Oreochromis niloticus: one gene and its partner. The protein of the gene in region 1 interacts with the protein of each later gene in a biochemical or structural test. Links are inferred from orthologs where the notes say so. Each region holds a gene or a part of one and is shown in the gene's direction. Other genes may lie near its edges.

Evidence for each region.
Region 2: of the proteins of malt1 (region 1) and relb, one has a biochemical effect on the other in vitro, tested with the Homo sapiens proteins (2 studies listed by BioGRID). The link is inferred for Oreochromis niloticus from reciprocal best matches to the Homo sapiens genes MALT1 and RELB.

The regions. Positions count from the first base shown.
Region 1 is NC_031977.2:28,480,768-28,487,695, forward strand, and holds the start of malt1 (mucosa-associated lymphoid tissue lymphoma translocation protein 1), read left to right. Parts: upstream 1-3,908; 5' UTR 3,909-4,089; coding exon 4,090-4,238; intron 4,239-5,175; coding exon 5,176-5,342; intron 5,343-5,687; coding exon 5,688-5,809; intron 5,810-6,928. UniProt on the Homo sapiens protein: Protease that enhances BCL10-induced activation: acts via formation of CBM complexes that channel adaptive and innate immune signaling downstream of CARD domain-containing proteins (CARD9, CARD11 and CARD14) to activate NF-kappa-B and MAP kinase p38 pathways which stimulate expression of genes encoding pro-inflammatory cytokines and chemokines.
Region 2 is NC_031979.2:23,753,229-23,760,538, forward strand, and holds the start of relb (transcription factor RelB), read left to right. Parts: upstream 1-4,303; 5' UTR 4,304-5,078; coding exon 5,079-5,112; intron 5,113-5,205; coding exon 5,206-5,280; intron 5,281-6,027; coding exon 6,028-6,209; intron 6,210-7,310.

The DNA.
Region 1 (6,928 bases):
TGGCCTAAAAAAATCCCAATCAAATCCCAATTCAAATATAAATCATTTAAAGTGAAAAATTAAACTCAATTTTTTCATGAAAATATAAGCTCCTTTAAGCCTCCTTCCATTAATAGCATCATAATAGCACTAACACATTTAAAAAATGTTCAGATGGGGGAAAATACTAGAAAAGTAATTGATTCTAGAAAGAAAACAGTGGGAGGAACATCTGCAACTAATTAGGTTAATTGGCAACAGGTGAGTAACATGCATGGGCATCAAAAAAAAGCACAGACAGAGCTTCCAAAGTAAAGATGGGCAGAGGGGACACCATTTTACAAAAAACTGTCCACAAATTGTGGAATAATTTCAGAATAATGTTCGTCAACGTAAAATTGGAAAGACTTTGAATATCCCATCATCTACAGTACATAATCATCAAGGGATTCTGAAATCCCTTTGCGCAAGAAATAAGACTGAATATCAATACTGGTTGTCTGCAAGTTTTGGTCATCACGGCATGGGTTCAGGATCACTTCCACAAATCACTGTCTGTGAACACACTTCACTGTACATCCACAAATACCAGTTAAAACTCTGTCATGTAAGAAAGGAGCTGTAGGTGAACATGATCCAGATGATCTCTGATGGCATGAGGGTGCATTAGTGCCTATGGAACTGGAAACATTTAGAAATGCACCATCAACGCTCAAAGCATCATATACTCCCATCCAGACTATGTATTTTTCAGGGAAGGGCGTGGGTATTTCAGCCTGTCGAACTGCATCTATGTCTGGGTGTTGAACTGACCTGCTAGCAGTCCAAGCCTTTCACCAATGAAAACATTCAGTGCATCATGAAAGAGCAGCTAGACTCTTGTAACAGACGAGAATGGGACAACATTCTTCTCCCACAGTCCAGCAGCTGGTCTCAGACATTTATGGGCTGCTGTAAAAAGACGAGGTGATGCTACGCAGTGGTAAACATGGCTCTGCACCAATTTTTTGGGAGAAATGTTGCTGCCATCAAATTCAAAATGAGTTAGCATATTGCTTTAAATAGTGCATTTTCTCAGCTTAAACATTTTATATGTTTTCTGTTCTACTGCAAATAAAATAAATAAATCATTGTAATCTGTTTTTAATTACACTGAATACAGCGTCCCAACTCTTTTGGAAGTGGGGTTGTAGTATTTGTCATGTGATACAGTTTTAGGCATTTGATTTTAGATGAGTCATTAAGAATCACAGTTAATAGCTGGCCAAAAAAAGCCTAATTATATCCACAATGATTCAGTGTTCAGCATTTTCTCTACTGTTACATTTGGACTCTCTCAGTCAACTCTTTGGCTGTGTTTATTTGAAACTGGTAAGTGTGGCTGGAAATTACTCAGACTGATTTTAAGATAGGAGAAATCTTCTCACATGATTGCTCAATAGGAATAAAATGCTTTATTAAAAAGGGCTGATTGTTTAAAACAAATGTGGTAAAATTACAGGTTTCAAGTGTGACTACTTGTAATTTGCCCGAAGGCTGGGCGAAGCATTACATGTTTGCAGGATAACTTCCACAGCAACAAAAATTTGCGTTCAGCAGAGAAGCTCTCCAGTAGTTTTCCACACGCCTGTCTATCCAGGCAGTGCTTAGCCCATCTGGCCCGGTGGTTCAGTTAACAGTGACACACATTTAGTTTCTGTTTAATTCATGTTCACATTTTATATGAAACACGTTACTTACTTATATAGCCATAAACAATAAAAAGAACCTGTTTGTTTGGGGACGTTAAATAAAGGTGAGTTTATGTTGTTATTACCATCATGGTTCCAGATGGCATTTGCAAATCCAGACCTAACGAGACAAGGGGAAGCTAAACCAGACACACTGCACACAGGACAGGGACTATCAAAATAAAACAGGAAACACACGACAGGCACAGAGGCATGGACTTGAGACACGACTGACTGGGGAATGAGAAAATAAACGTGAAGTCAGAACTAAACCTACACTAAATGTGAGGGGCACAGGAACAAAACCCAAGAACTAGAAATCAGAAAACGAAGAAGAACTAGAGAGCTAGAAATACAGAACCATAGACCAAAAGACTAGTAATGATAAACCGTGATGAAATCAAAGAATTATAATAATACAAAACACTGGGTCACCGAACCAGGACTGTGACAAGTTTAAAGATATCAAAAAATAACTAAAAATATCAAAAGTATGTGAGGAAATAAGTCCAGGTTTGGGACTGGCGGTAGGAGTACACTAACAGCACCATGCAGTCTCATTGCAGTTTGTGAAATATAGTCACAACTATCATTTTATTAGTTTGTGTTTCTGTACATTAACTTTTTTCTTTTGTGTGTTCCTCAACATGAATTTCCCAGTATTATATTTGAACACTACTTTTCATTCATCCATTCTCCTATATACCGAATCTATTGTATATCTCAAATTTTTTCATGCATCATCACTTTAAAAAATATTATTAATGAAAAACATCCTTTCATGCTTAAGTTTAGACAGCTTGGTTTAGTTAGGTTTCGTGTTTTATTATGGGACTGGGCTGACTGAACAGCAGCACACGCCTGAAAAGATACGCTTCTAGTGGTAAAACAGTGCCACCTTGTGGTGAATTGTTTTCTTACATTTTGCAGGGGGCAATTACAAAAAGTGCCTTTAAACAAAGCCATTATATATGGTCTGCTCTGAAAAACTTAGGGAAAGAGCAGCAAGGACAAAAAAAGCATGTAAAAGCAGAAAAAAAGAGTGACCCTGATTACAAACAGGGAAAATTATCCTACTTAGTCATGGCATTACTTAAGACAACCTTTTCACCTAGAAAGTGGAGTTGCCAGCATTACAAAACAGGATTTACAGAGAGCCAGTCTCCATATGAATATGTGGAAGAAAAACTCTGAGATTCTGTAAGGAGACAAGGGGTGTCAAGCCACTCCTTTGGTCAACCCACAAACCCAGTGCTGACTGCGGGTTAGAGTTAGTCAGTTTAGTTTATAAGGTGGGGGAACCCTGCAGTCAGCTGAGACTTAAATGGTTACTTGGATGAGTGAATGTTTCCCCCACTGAAAACATTACGTCTAGATTAACAGAATCAATTTTTTTGTGACATGTAGATGAAATAAAAGTTTTGTGTACATTATATTGCAAACAGTTTTGACTTGACAATGTCAGTGCTGGGTAAAAACTGTTTGAGTCCTCAAGGTATCTTTCCAGGAAGTTATACCTACATAAATGAAAACAGGATTGATCCTTAAAAAAACCTGTTCATTTTCTGGGCCAACCAATAACCTATAGAAAACTTTCTAGCTCCGCCACTATGAGGAGGTCACCGGCTCCCACCTGAGCGGCTGAGTACAGCCAAAGAGTGCAAATTGAGCGAGATGAGTCGCCTCGCCTCAACTTTCTGTGCCACTTGGTTTGTGATTCTATGCCTGGGCACTCGTTTAAGGATGGATGTTGCATGTGAAAAGAAAAGAATATATAGATTAACCTTAATAAATACGGGTTATTTGGTATATACTAGCTAGTTTTAGCAGCGTTTACATTAAAGAAACCTCTGACGTATTAAAATCCACTGAACAAATACCAAATAATGGTGTTGATTGCGGGCTCAGTTAATCGTTCATTCATTGTCAAATGGCGAGTAGACAGCAGCTACACTCTCTTTGGCAGTTGCACAGAGCTAGCTAGTAGGGTATCCTCTTTCGATTAACGCCAAACAAAATTACGAATAGAAAATGAGATATCACACAGGTAGATTTTTGAGTAAGTTACTTGGTTTATCTTAATTGCGTGGAATTAATAAAAGGAGGTAAACTCCGAAAACAGGCCAGAGTTGGGGTTGTTTCTTTTCGCCTCTCGCCTCACAAGCCTACATGCAGAGATTCATCTTTACGCATAAGTGGTCTTTGGCAGAAGGAAACCACAACTGAGCTGCACCACGGGGAAAAACCAAGACGACGCTGTAGGCGTGTCAGTCATTTTTATCATTTCTTTCAGGAAGTAGACATTTTTTTTTCGTGCCATAACTTTGCTTTTGCGTGCGATAGAAACACGTTGATGGTGAGCTTTGGTTGAGGAACTGTCATGTCGGACTCTTTGGAACGGTCCACGAAGGTCAACTCGTTGAAGGAGCCGGTTGTGAAGAGGCTGTGTGAGGTGCTGGACAAATCCAGCACTAAAGGATGGCGAAAACTTGGAGAGATTGTTGGCAATGATAGACGGTTTAAAGTCAGGTGGGTTAAAAATTGCTATTAGTACTAGTATTTAGTAAATGACCAGAAATCATTGCATGCATACTCTCAACCACCGGTTTATTTATTAAAGCTAATGGGGACTAACGCGATTAACTTTCATTATAGTTACACTGTTCAGTTTATTGGTTATTGTGAATTTTATGTTGTGTCTTTATATTAAAAAATAAAGGTATAGAGTATGTAATACAGTAATGCACAATTAACCTGTATATTTTCTGGCATAGATAAATATGTAACTCCAAGTTAATAAATCAAGAGACCCCCTTTGAGAGATTAAATTGGACAACTATTTGTTTTTCATTACAGCATCTTCCAGGTTAATGCTAGTTAATGAAACTATCAATCAAAAATGTAGGGTCCAATCATTATTTATATGCAGTTTCATTAACAAATAATGGTGATGACAAATGTTTGCCTCTGATTTTTTTTTAATCCTAGCTGTTACTGTACGGCTGTAACATATGATATCACACCTGCCTAATATCACTATTACACCGTGTGTTTGAGTACATATATTCCCGGTACAGTGCAGTCTGCTCATAAGATCAAATATGCATTATTTATACCAAAACAGCAGCCAAAACTTAAAAAACAATGTAGCTCAATCAAATAAGTACAAACTTAATAAGTTTAGACAAGTGTAAAATTGCACAAAAGAAAGAGTTCAGGTAAATAGAGTATGACACTAATAAAGTCACTAGATAAAGTGTTTCACTGATTGTGCACTAAGCGGTGCAGATGGTGTAAAGATTAGCATTCATTTGTTTTTCTTTTAAACTTGTGTAAATTTATTCCCTTATCTTTGTCTAACAGTTTCTCATGACCTGAGTTTTCGTGTGTGAAAACGGTAAAGATGAGTTTTACTGTAATATGATTTAAAATATGAAATGCTGACAGTCACCTACATCCTTTCCAGCTCGGATGACATGGAGATGTGCTCTCTGAAGGTGCTGGAGCTGGAGGGAAGCCCGAGTCTCATGCTGCTGAGGCTGATGGGAGAGCGAGGCTGCACCACGGGCCATCTGATGGACTACCTTCAAACTTTAGGCAACTCAGAGGCTCTGCAGTGCCTGAAACCGCCAGGTAGAGTAAAACCACATTGATGCCGCTATGTTGTCAATCATGCAGGTTGATCTTCACTTTCTGCATTCTATTTATTTCTCATCTGAAGCTCACAGCTCATTGTGCTGTTTGGATGAAACTTATAGGTCATTGTCAGTGCAGTTTTAAGTCAGTGCAGCAGTAATCAGGGTTCATATAATGTAGGTTTCAAGAGGGAATGTTTTATTATGCTATTACCACTCATCTGTACCATTGCTAGCTTGGCAATTAAAGTTAAACCTTAAAGAGAAGCACCACAAAGTTCTGCTGTATACAGTCCATCTAAACTCAGTGTAAATTCACAGTAAATATCCTGTACATGTGCAGCCCTCCAGATCCTCATTCAGCCCCAGTCCGTATCCATTATATGTGGCCACAATCTGCGGCTCAGCTGCCACGCTGTGGGCAAGTCTCCAGTACAGTACCAGTGGTTCAAATCTAAGGAAGAGGTGAGTTCCTCTGACACACTCACACACACTGATTTTTTTTTGTCTTGATGCATTCTCAATCATCCAGGAAAGTAAATCTCCAAAAGTTGAATCTGTTCATCTGGACGTAGCGTTTTGTGGGAGAAACGTTTCGTCACTCATCCAAGTGACTTCTTCAGTCTCAGCTGACTGCAGGTTTCCCCAAACCTTATAAACAGTACATTTGCATAATGACTGAAACCAGCCCACTGAAGGAACAATGGGCTGATTTTTTTCTGACTTTAAATTAAAGTTCTTGCGTTAAAACCTCTTTAGCGTTTTTTACACATTCACTGCAGCCATAACTTTACTAACTTTACTAAAAATTACACAACTGAAATGCATGTGAGATCAAAAATGTCCAACAAAGCAAAGCAAAGCAAAAAGCAAACAAACAAACAAAAAAATGTCCAACATGGTCTGATCAGACATTAAATGGTATTTAAACCGACAACTTCCTAGTACAAAGTCCACCTGCATGATCCGGTAAATTCATCACTACTGAGTCCTGCTGTTGCATTCTCTTCTCAGTCAGGACTTTCCCATAAAACAAACAGAGTATTTCCAATAGTGAGAACACATGATTACCATATCATCGGTGCAGTAAATGGCACTGTTGGTTCATCGTAGTTAATGGGTGATCCTAAATAAGTGGTTAAGAAACTTAACTGAATCTCTTCCTATAGCACAGTGATGTTTTTTAGTGAGCTGAGCAATTCATAAAAGTGCACAGTTGCAAATGTCTGCATGTGTCCGCGTCAGCATGCGTTCAGTCTTGTGACGCCATGCTGAAAGGATACATAAGTGTTACTCGTTCTGACTTGCTAGATGTAACTTTTTTCGGAAGTGTGACGTGGGTGCTCGATCATAGAAAAAGACTGCGCATTCAGATGCTGTCGTATTATTACTAGTTCATATCTGAGTTTCTACCCATAGCTTTGATCTTTTCTAATGAGTTTTTGTTTTAGTTTATTTTCACTCAGTTTACAGAGTGGTTTTTTTCTCATTTCAGTTTAGTTTTGCGTTGTGTAGTTAATGTTTAAATTTAATTAGAGTTAGTGTTGTTTTTTGTGTTTTTAATTATTATAAGGAGGCTGTTTG
Region 2 (7,310 bases), on another chromosome or scaffold:
AGTGTAACCAGTTTCTGCTTCCCCCTCTATAACAGGCCGGCCAAAATTAACTCCTTGACTCTGCGTTTTGTTGTATTTTTAAAGAAGACAAGGAGTCTCTGGTTTGTCTTGATGCATGCTCAGTCATCCAGGTAAGCAAATCGCAGAAGTTTGATTCTTTTCATCTGGACGTTTTCAGTGGGAGAAAAGTTGCGTCACTCATCAAAGTGGCTTCTTCAGTCTCAGCTGACTGCAGGTTTCCCCAATCTTATAAATAGTACATTTGCATAATAACTGAAACCAGCCGACTGAATGAACAATGGGCTGGGATGTCAGTTTTTTGATCATTAGTATGCAAATTGTGATGTTCATTGCTCAACAAACACTGATCAAAGACCACTGATCAATGGCCATGAGTACCATTCACAGAGAGTTGGGGAATGGCTCCATTGTAAGATGATTCATAGATGTTTTTTCCCTTTTCACGTAAATGGCCTCCTTGACTCCACGCTCAAACCAGCGTTCCTCCCTGTCCAGGATGTGTACATCCTCATCATTGAAAGAGTGTCCCTGGCCTGTAGGTGTAAATAGACTGCAGAGTCCTGGCCTGACGAGGTGGCTCTTCTGTGTTGTGCCATCCGTTTCACCAGAGGTTGTTTGGTTTCACCGATGTATAAATCCTGGCAATCCTCCTGGCACTTAACAGCGTACACTATATTACTTGTGTCGGGGGACCCGATCCTTGGGGTGGAACAATTTTTGGCACAGCATGTTTTGGGGTTTGAAAGCCACAGAGACGCTGTGTTTAGAAAAATGCGTCTCAACTGTTCCGATACTCCTGACACATACGGGATCACTACAGGTTTTCGCTTAGGCAGCAGTTGTCCTTCTCTCCTGGATGAACTGGAGCTTTCTTTAGGTGACTTCCCAGCTTTGACAAATGTCCAGCTAGGATAACCACATTTACTCAGGGCCTTCTTGATGTGATGTTCTTCTGCTTCCCTGGCTGCTGTGTCTATGGGGATGGTGTTCGTTCTATGTTGTGGCGTCCTGATGACACCCAGTTTGTGCACCACTGGATGCATATTAATGATCAAGGACCTGACCTCACAACTCACTGTTCATTCAGTGGGCTAGTTTCAGTTATTGTGCAAATGTACTGTTTATAAGGTTGGGGAAACTTGCAGTCAGCAGGGGTCATTAGCTCCCCGGTCAGTGTTTTGGAAAGCCGTAGATGCAGAAGTAGTTATGCCAGAGTTTGTGCGCTACTGCCTTAGCAGACTGATTAGGGCTGATTAGAAAGGCCTGAGCCATCTTTGGAAAGTGGTTTATGACCACAAACACATCCACTGATTTGTTTGCTGAATCCTCCCAAAATACTTTAGCGCCGTTCCTTGTTGGCCCTGGTGACCTGCTTCATCATGGGCACCTTTCAGTACAGCAGGATGCACGGTTGGCGGAACAACATACAGGTAGGTCTTAGAGACTCGATACAGTAAACTATTTCTTACGGTCAACTTGTCCCAAGCCTTTAGGAGTCTCCTTGTATCGGTCGCTTCTTTGGCCCACTCTCTCCTTGATGGTCTCTGCCCCCTTTCCACATAGAGGATCACTCTGCACAGCACATCATCATGTGTCTCACTAGGTCATCTTGTAAAAAGGATTCAGAGTCAGACCAGTTCGGTGTAAGCACAGTTTGAGAGAGGCAGGAGAAGAGCATGTGGCCACACTCTTGACTTGTGTTTACTATGGCCCTGGAGGACAGCTCCCACCTCAGCCTATGCAACAGCTGTGTTTATCAGATTTTTATTAGTCAGTTCTTCAGCATTCAGGGTCTTACTGTGGTCCTCTCCTAAATCTCCCTCTTCCCTCTGGTGATTAACCAGATGCATTATAAGGTTGCTGCCCAGAATAAGGTCCTCACTCTGCCCTGCAACCACCATCATTGGCAGAACAACTTTACACCCATACACCTCAATGGTAATGTCCCACACACCTGTTGGAACTGTCCTTGAACCACCACAACCAATCAGGACGACATCAGTGGGTTGGAAGGTCGAGGTCTCCAACGCTACAGGACGTAAAAATTGGGGCATTACATTGATGCTGAGGATGCAGGCCATGGAGCCACCGTCAAGCATCGCTTTAGCTGACAGTTCGCCACCTAGGGTGACGTTTTCATTGAGCAGTTCATCATTCTGTTTTAGTCTGTGTGTGTTCTGAAATATGGGTCATATTGGGACTCACCTACTGTCGCTAAAAACTAAAAGGCAGTGGCTGCACTAAGCTGAGAGGCACACTTCTGATCTTTGCCATGCTCCAGCAACTTCTCGTACACATCAGCAACTGTCCACCGCTGCAAGGACTTGCACTTGAAAATAGGAGACAGTTCTGAGTCCGGGGAGTGACGGTTAAACATAGCAGTCAGCTCTTTTGTCAGATATGCAAAGGACTTAATTTGTCTTTTAAGGCAGTCTTCTGTCACCTCCATAGCGCTGTTCAACCTGAGCCAGTAATCAACAGGCTTTTCACCTAAGTTGGATAATGTTGCATAAAAATCTGCTAAAGGCATGCTTGAACCGGCAGTGTTAATGAAGTGCTGCTTTTAGATCTCAAAAATGGGCTCTGGGCCCCCCTCATGACATACAGATGGCTTACTACGTATGCCCACCCTGATTATCTCTCATACCCTCCCTGCAAGTTTACTTGGCACTTCATCAGCTTGTTCTGCTACTGGTATCCCTTTTCTTTTTAAAAAGGCCATCATCATTTTCCCCATTCCCAAACACTGCATGTGTCACAGCCATCCCCTCTAAAACACACAGGTTCTTTGACATCAGATTTTGCAACCACATTCAGTACTGAGGGCTCTGAGAGCAAAGACCCAACAACAGTGTTTCCCAGTCCATAGCACAAGCAAAACTAAAAGAAACTGTCCCTCTCCCCCCTACCAAAAGTGGGAAAATCTGTCATGCTTTAGCAGATTTTTGTTGTTGTTTTGATTATCGAAAACAGTACATTTAAAGGGGGAAAGAAAATAGTTGACTCTGAGTTCAAAATGTGAAAGAAAACATCTCAAATGGAATATACAGCAAAACCTCAAACACACACTACCTCCCAAAAAATACAAGAGCACAGCTAAATAGACCTTAATAAAAATGCATAGCAAAGGACCACTACATTGAATCACTGCAGAGTAGTAAACAGCTCTTTTGTTGAAGATAAAACGTGTTTATCCCCCCCCCCCCTTCTTTTTCTCCTTCCCAAAGTGTAGGAGCCATTTTTGGGTTAATACCTTATGTTGCCGCTAGAGGTCACCTTTTTTAGTTTCTGTATGGTAGGTTTATGTCAACAGTTTGTGACCGCTGCGCTGTTATGTTAAAATGATATTGGAATAAAGACCAAAAGGACAAGATAAGTACTGCTGGAGTTATTGGACTGTTTAATTAATTCATGCATACCAGTGACATCACGTCACCCCCGTTAACAAACACCTCTGAGGCTTCAAGCATAGGCGTAGCCTCTACACAAAGAGAAAGTACACAATCCCACCTCAATGTCCGAAAGAAAACAGAAAATGGCGGGACTAAGAGAAACCAGTCTCCCGCGGTTTTCCGCACAGTCCACCTTCCAGGAAATAGACAGGCCATTGTATATTTATTTCCTCTCATGTAGCTTTAACAAACTGGCAGTGATTACATACTTACATACTTATTACATATACTTTTTACAGTCATTGTGCACCAGGAGGGAGGGCGCTGTTTCCCCATTGCACTGACATTTGAGGCAAGTGGAAACACTGTTAGGAACACACCAGTGACAGGTGTAGGTGATGCTTGGTGTCATGAAACACTGATGGTCTACTTTTGACTCAAGTAAAGACATGTGGCCTCCAGTAAATGCTGTGTGCCCATAAAGTTTTAGCTTTTTAAAATAAATATATATATATATATATATATATATATATATATATATATATGTATATATATATATTTATTAAATTTTGTGGATATTCTTCTGTTGCCTTCAAAAGGAGGACTGAGGACTCGCAGATCATCCTCTGGTTGCAGAGCTCAGGCTGAAGCGTGTCGGTCATGCCTGCAGCTAGGTTGCAGCTGGCTTGCTTAATTTTTGTTTTTTAATCTGCTCCCTGCTGAGTCACTGCTTCCCCTAAAAGGCCCCGCTTTCGATTTCCATTTCCTTTAAATCGTCTGTCTTCTGGGCGACCAGCAGGTGTCGCTGCTGCGCTTCGTAATTTTTCAGCAGTTTGTCAAGAGTTTTTAAGTTGAGACGAGAAGAGGCGCCGTTTCTAATGGGAGGGGTTTTTTGTTTTTGTCTTTTTGAAATTGTAACTTTTACTTTGCACTTATGAAATTCCCACTTCTCCCTGATTGGAGGAACCGGGAGAAGCGTGATAAAGACATGATGTAACCAGGAGAAATGCCTCAGAGGGCGTGTGGCTGAGAAAGAGCTGGCTTTTTGACTTCTTTGTGCTAAAAATAGGTGCATGAGCTCTGGGATAGAGGCTCATTTGAATAGTTAAAAACTGATTTGCATATGCACTGAAGCCGATATGAAAACAAGACGAGCCGCCGATACGTGCGATCAGTTTACATACATAATAAGCGGGGAAATCGGCTTTTAAGGGTAAAGGACCTATTCTGGCCTCATTATGATGCATTATGCAAATCAATAAAGCGGCAAGGGTTTGATTAAAAGCTCGGTTCGCGCTGTCGCGGGGGGGGTTTTCCCGTCTGTGAGGTGACGTTACGCGCAGAGGGGGATTTCCACGCGGTCCAGCAGCCAATCAGCGCGAAGCTTGTCCGAAACACAAAAGCGGAGATGACTTCGTGTAAGATATTTCGACACATGGCTTCGAGACGGTTTGACACTTTCCCCGGGATCAGACAGAAGCTGTGAGCCGCTGTGCAGTCTAACAGGTGGTTTAAGGAGCTGTTTCAGAGTTCAGGACGAAGGTTTGGGCCGAGACGGAAAAAGACCCAGAGTCATCCGGTTTGGAGACGACTCAAGGAAGGATTCAAGGACACGACGGTGGAGTTTAAGGTCCTAAAGGTGGTCTTAAAGACTGGACGCATGCCATGATAGACATGGACATGGTCAACGGTACCTCTGGTGGGTGGTTGTCTTTTGTAAACCTGTTGAATCTTTGCGTGTGTTTGTGCGTAAAAGCGCTGACATCATCCTGAGGCATGTGATTTTTCACAGCAGAGGAGACAACACCCCTTCCCGGGATTGACCCGCAGGACGACAATTGTTCGAGCCTCGACTCTCTAGATTTCGGTGAGTGGTGGGTCTTTTTTGTTTTGTTTTATTTTGTTTTGTTTTGGCTCTGCGTGCATGTGCCGGAAGCAGGGAGGAATTACGGTGACCTGAGATGACCTCTGGCAGGAGGCGTAAACCATCATCAGAGTTCCTGCTTGTTTAATCTTAGGTTGTCTTATTTCCGATGTCAGAAAGGGAGAACTCAACATTTGGGACATTAAATTAAACATGAAAAAAGTCACAACAGCTGATTTCTCTTATTTAACATTGAAAACTGTGCTGCAGATGCTAGCTTTGTTTAATGCTTCATGCTTTCTGACAAAGTGTCAGACATGACAGACCACAACCACTGGTCCCCAAAGACAGGTATATTTACCTGCAGGTAACCACTGCTCTAGATTCACTTTCACTGGTTAAACTGAGGCTGACTACAGGGCAGGAGGCCTGTTTTTTTATTGGTGCAGTGCTGAAACAACGTGCCACAGATTCATGCACCAGTGACAAAAACAAAACAGAGGAAACGGTTCATGTGAGGTGGTAACCACTCAGATTCTGACACACTGTGTCTTGTGACACGTTGCCACGTCTTAAAATAGATTGCAGTAATATACTACTAGGTTTGGAAGATGTTAATGGAAGTGTTTCTGCTTTCTAATCCAAAAACATAAAGAAACAGAGTAGCTGCTGCCCTAAACCAGTGTCAGATTTTTACAACATTTGCACTTTCACTTTGGATTCACCATCAGTTTGTATTCATTCACACAGACCTGATTCAAGAATATATCGCAGAAAGTGAGCAGGTAGCACCCACCCCATCTGGACTACCTGGACCACCTCCTCCACCTACTGGCCTCCCCTGCCCCACAAACCAAACCCCACCAAACCCCATCCACAAACCAACGCAGATATCCAAGCCGGTGCTGGTTGCAAGAGGCACCTTGTCTAAGGTGGGTGTTTTGCTTTTGGGGTTTTTTTTGTTTTTTTTAGGTGGTGTCACGCAGGGTGTTGATTTTTCTGGTTTCCTGCTCTTTTTGCAGTTTCGTACGTTACCCAGAAAGACTGCTGGCAACACCCAAGGGTGCCAAGCAGAGAGGTGTTTGTATCAGCTGTGGGCTGTGAAAGTTGCCAGTCTGGGGTGAATAGGGGCATACTTTTTACAGATCCTGGCAAAATTTGTGCTCATTACTTCAATACAGGGTCTATTTAACTAGATCAAGTCATAATTAATATACCTGATACTTAATTTGTATAAAAACCAGAGAAATAAATGTCAGTACATGCACCTATTTTGTAAATATTCAATCACTTTGGCTGATATGACTGTATAACAGGTAGGAAACTGGAGTCTAGGCTGTCTGGAGAAAGGTTATGACTAATAAACAATGATAACAATAATGATGGTATTCTTATTTTTAGCCTTTTCTTATCTTAGCTGGGCAACATAAACATTAAAACAGTTAATGGATTCAGCTAAAACTTAAAACATTTTATTTATGAGAAGAAACTGTTAAAAATGTATCTGCTTGTGGCTCCTCTGAATGGTTTTTTTTTTTAGGTTTTCTTCTTATCATTTGTTTGTGCAAAGCACTCACACAGATGGGCAGGTTGTTGTGCTCTTCCCTCGGTTTATTATTAGCAACAGTAGTTTTATTTCCCATATTGTCTTTGTGCTATTATTGAAAGGCGGTTGATATAAAACACGTTCAGAGGAAGCGTCTGTTCCTCCTCGGGGGTGGCTGCAGCTCTCATAATGAGGCTGTTGTGAGGATTGAATGTTGGTGGTATGAAGTGCTGCATGATTCATGTGCAGCCTGCAGACGGTTGGCTTTTTTGCTGTGTGGCACAGTGCAGCCGTTAGGCAACTTGGCAGGTCCGGCTTCTACCAGAAAGCACGTGGTTTACAGGCAGCGGGAAGCTCAGAAAGGCTGTAATCTGATGAGGCACTGTAGTGGCCGCACAGATGGGTAATAATGAAGGGTGCTGGAAGTTTAGCCTTCTCTTAGTGAATGAGCTGCACAGGTTATGTTGCTGGGTTTGAAGAGGTTTTG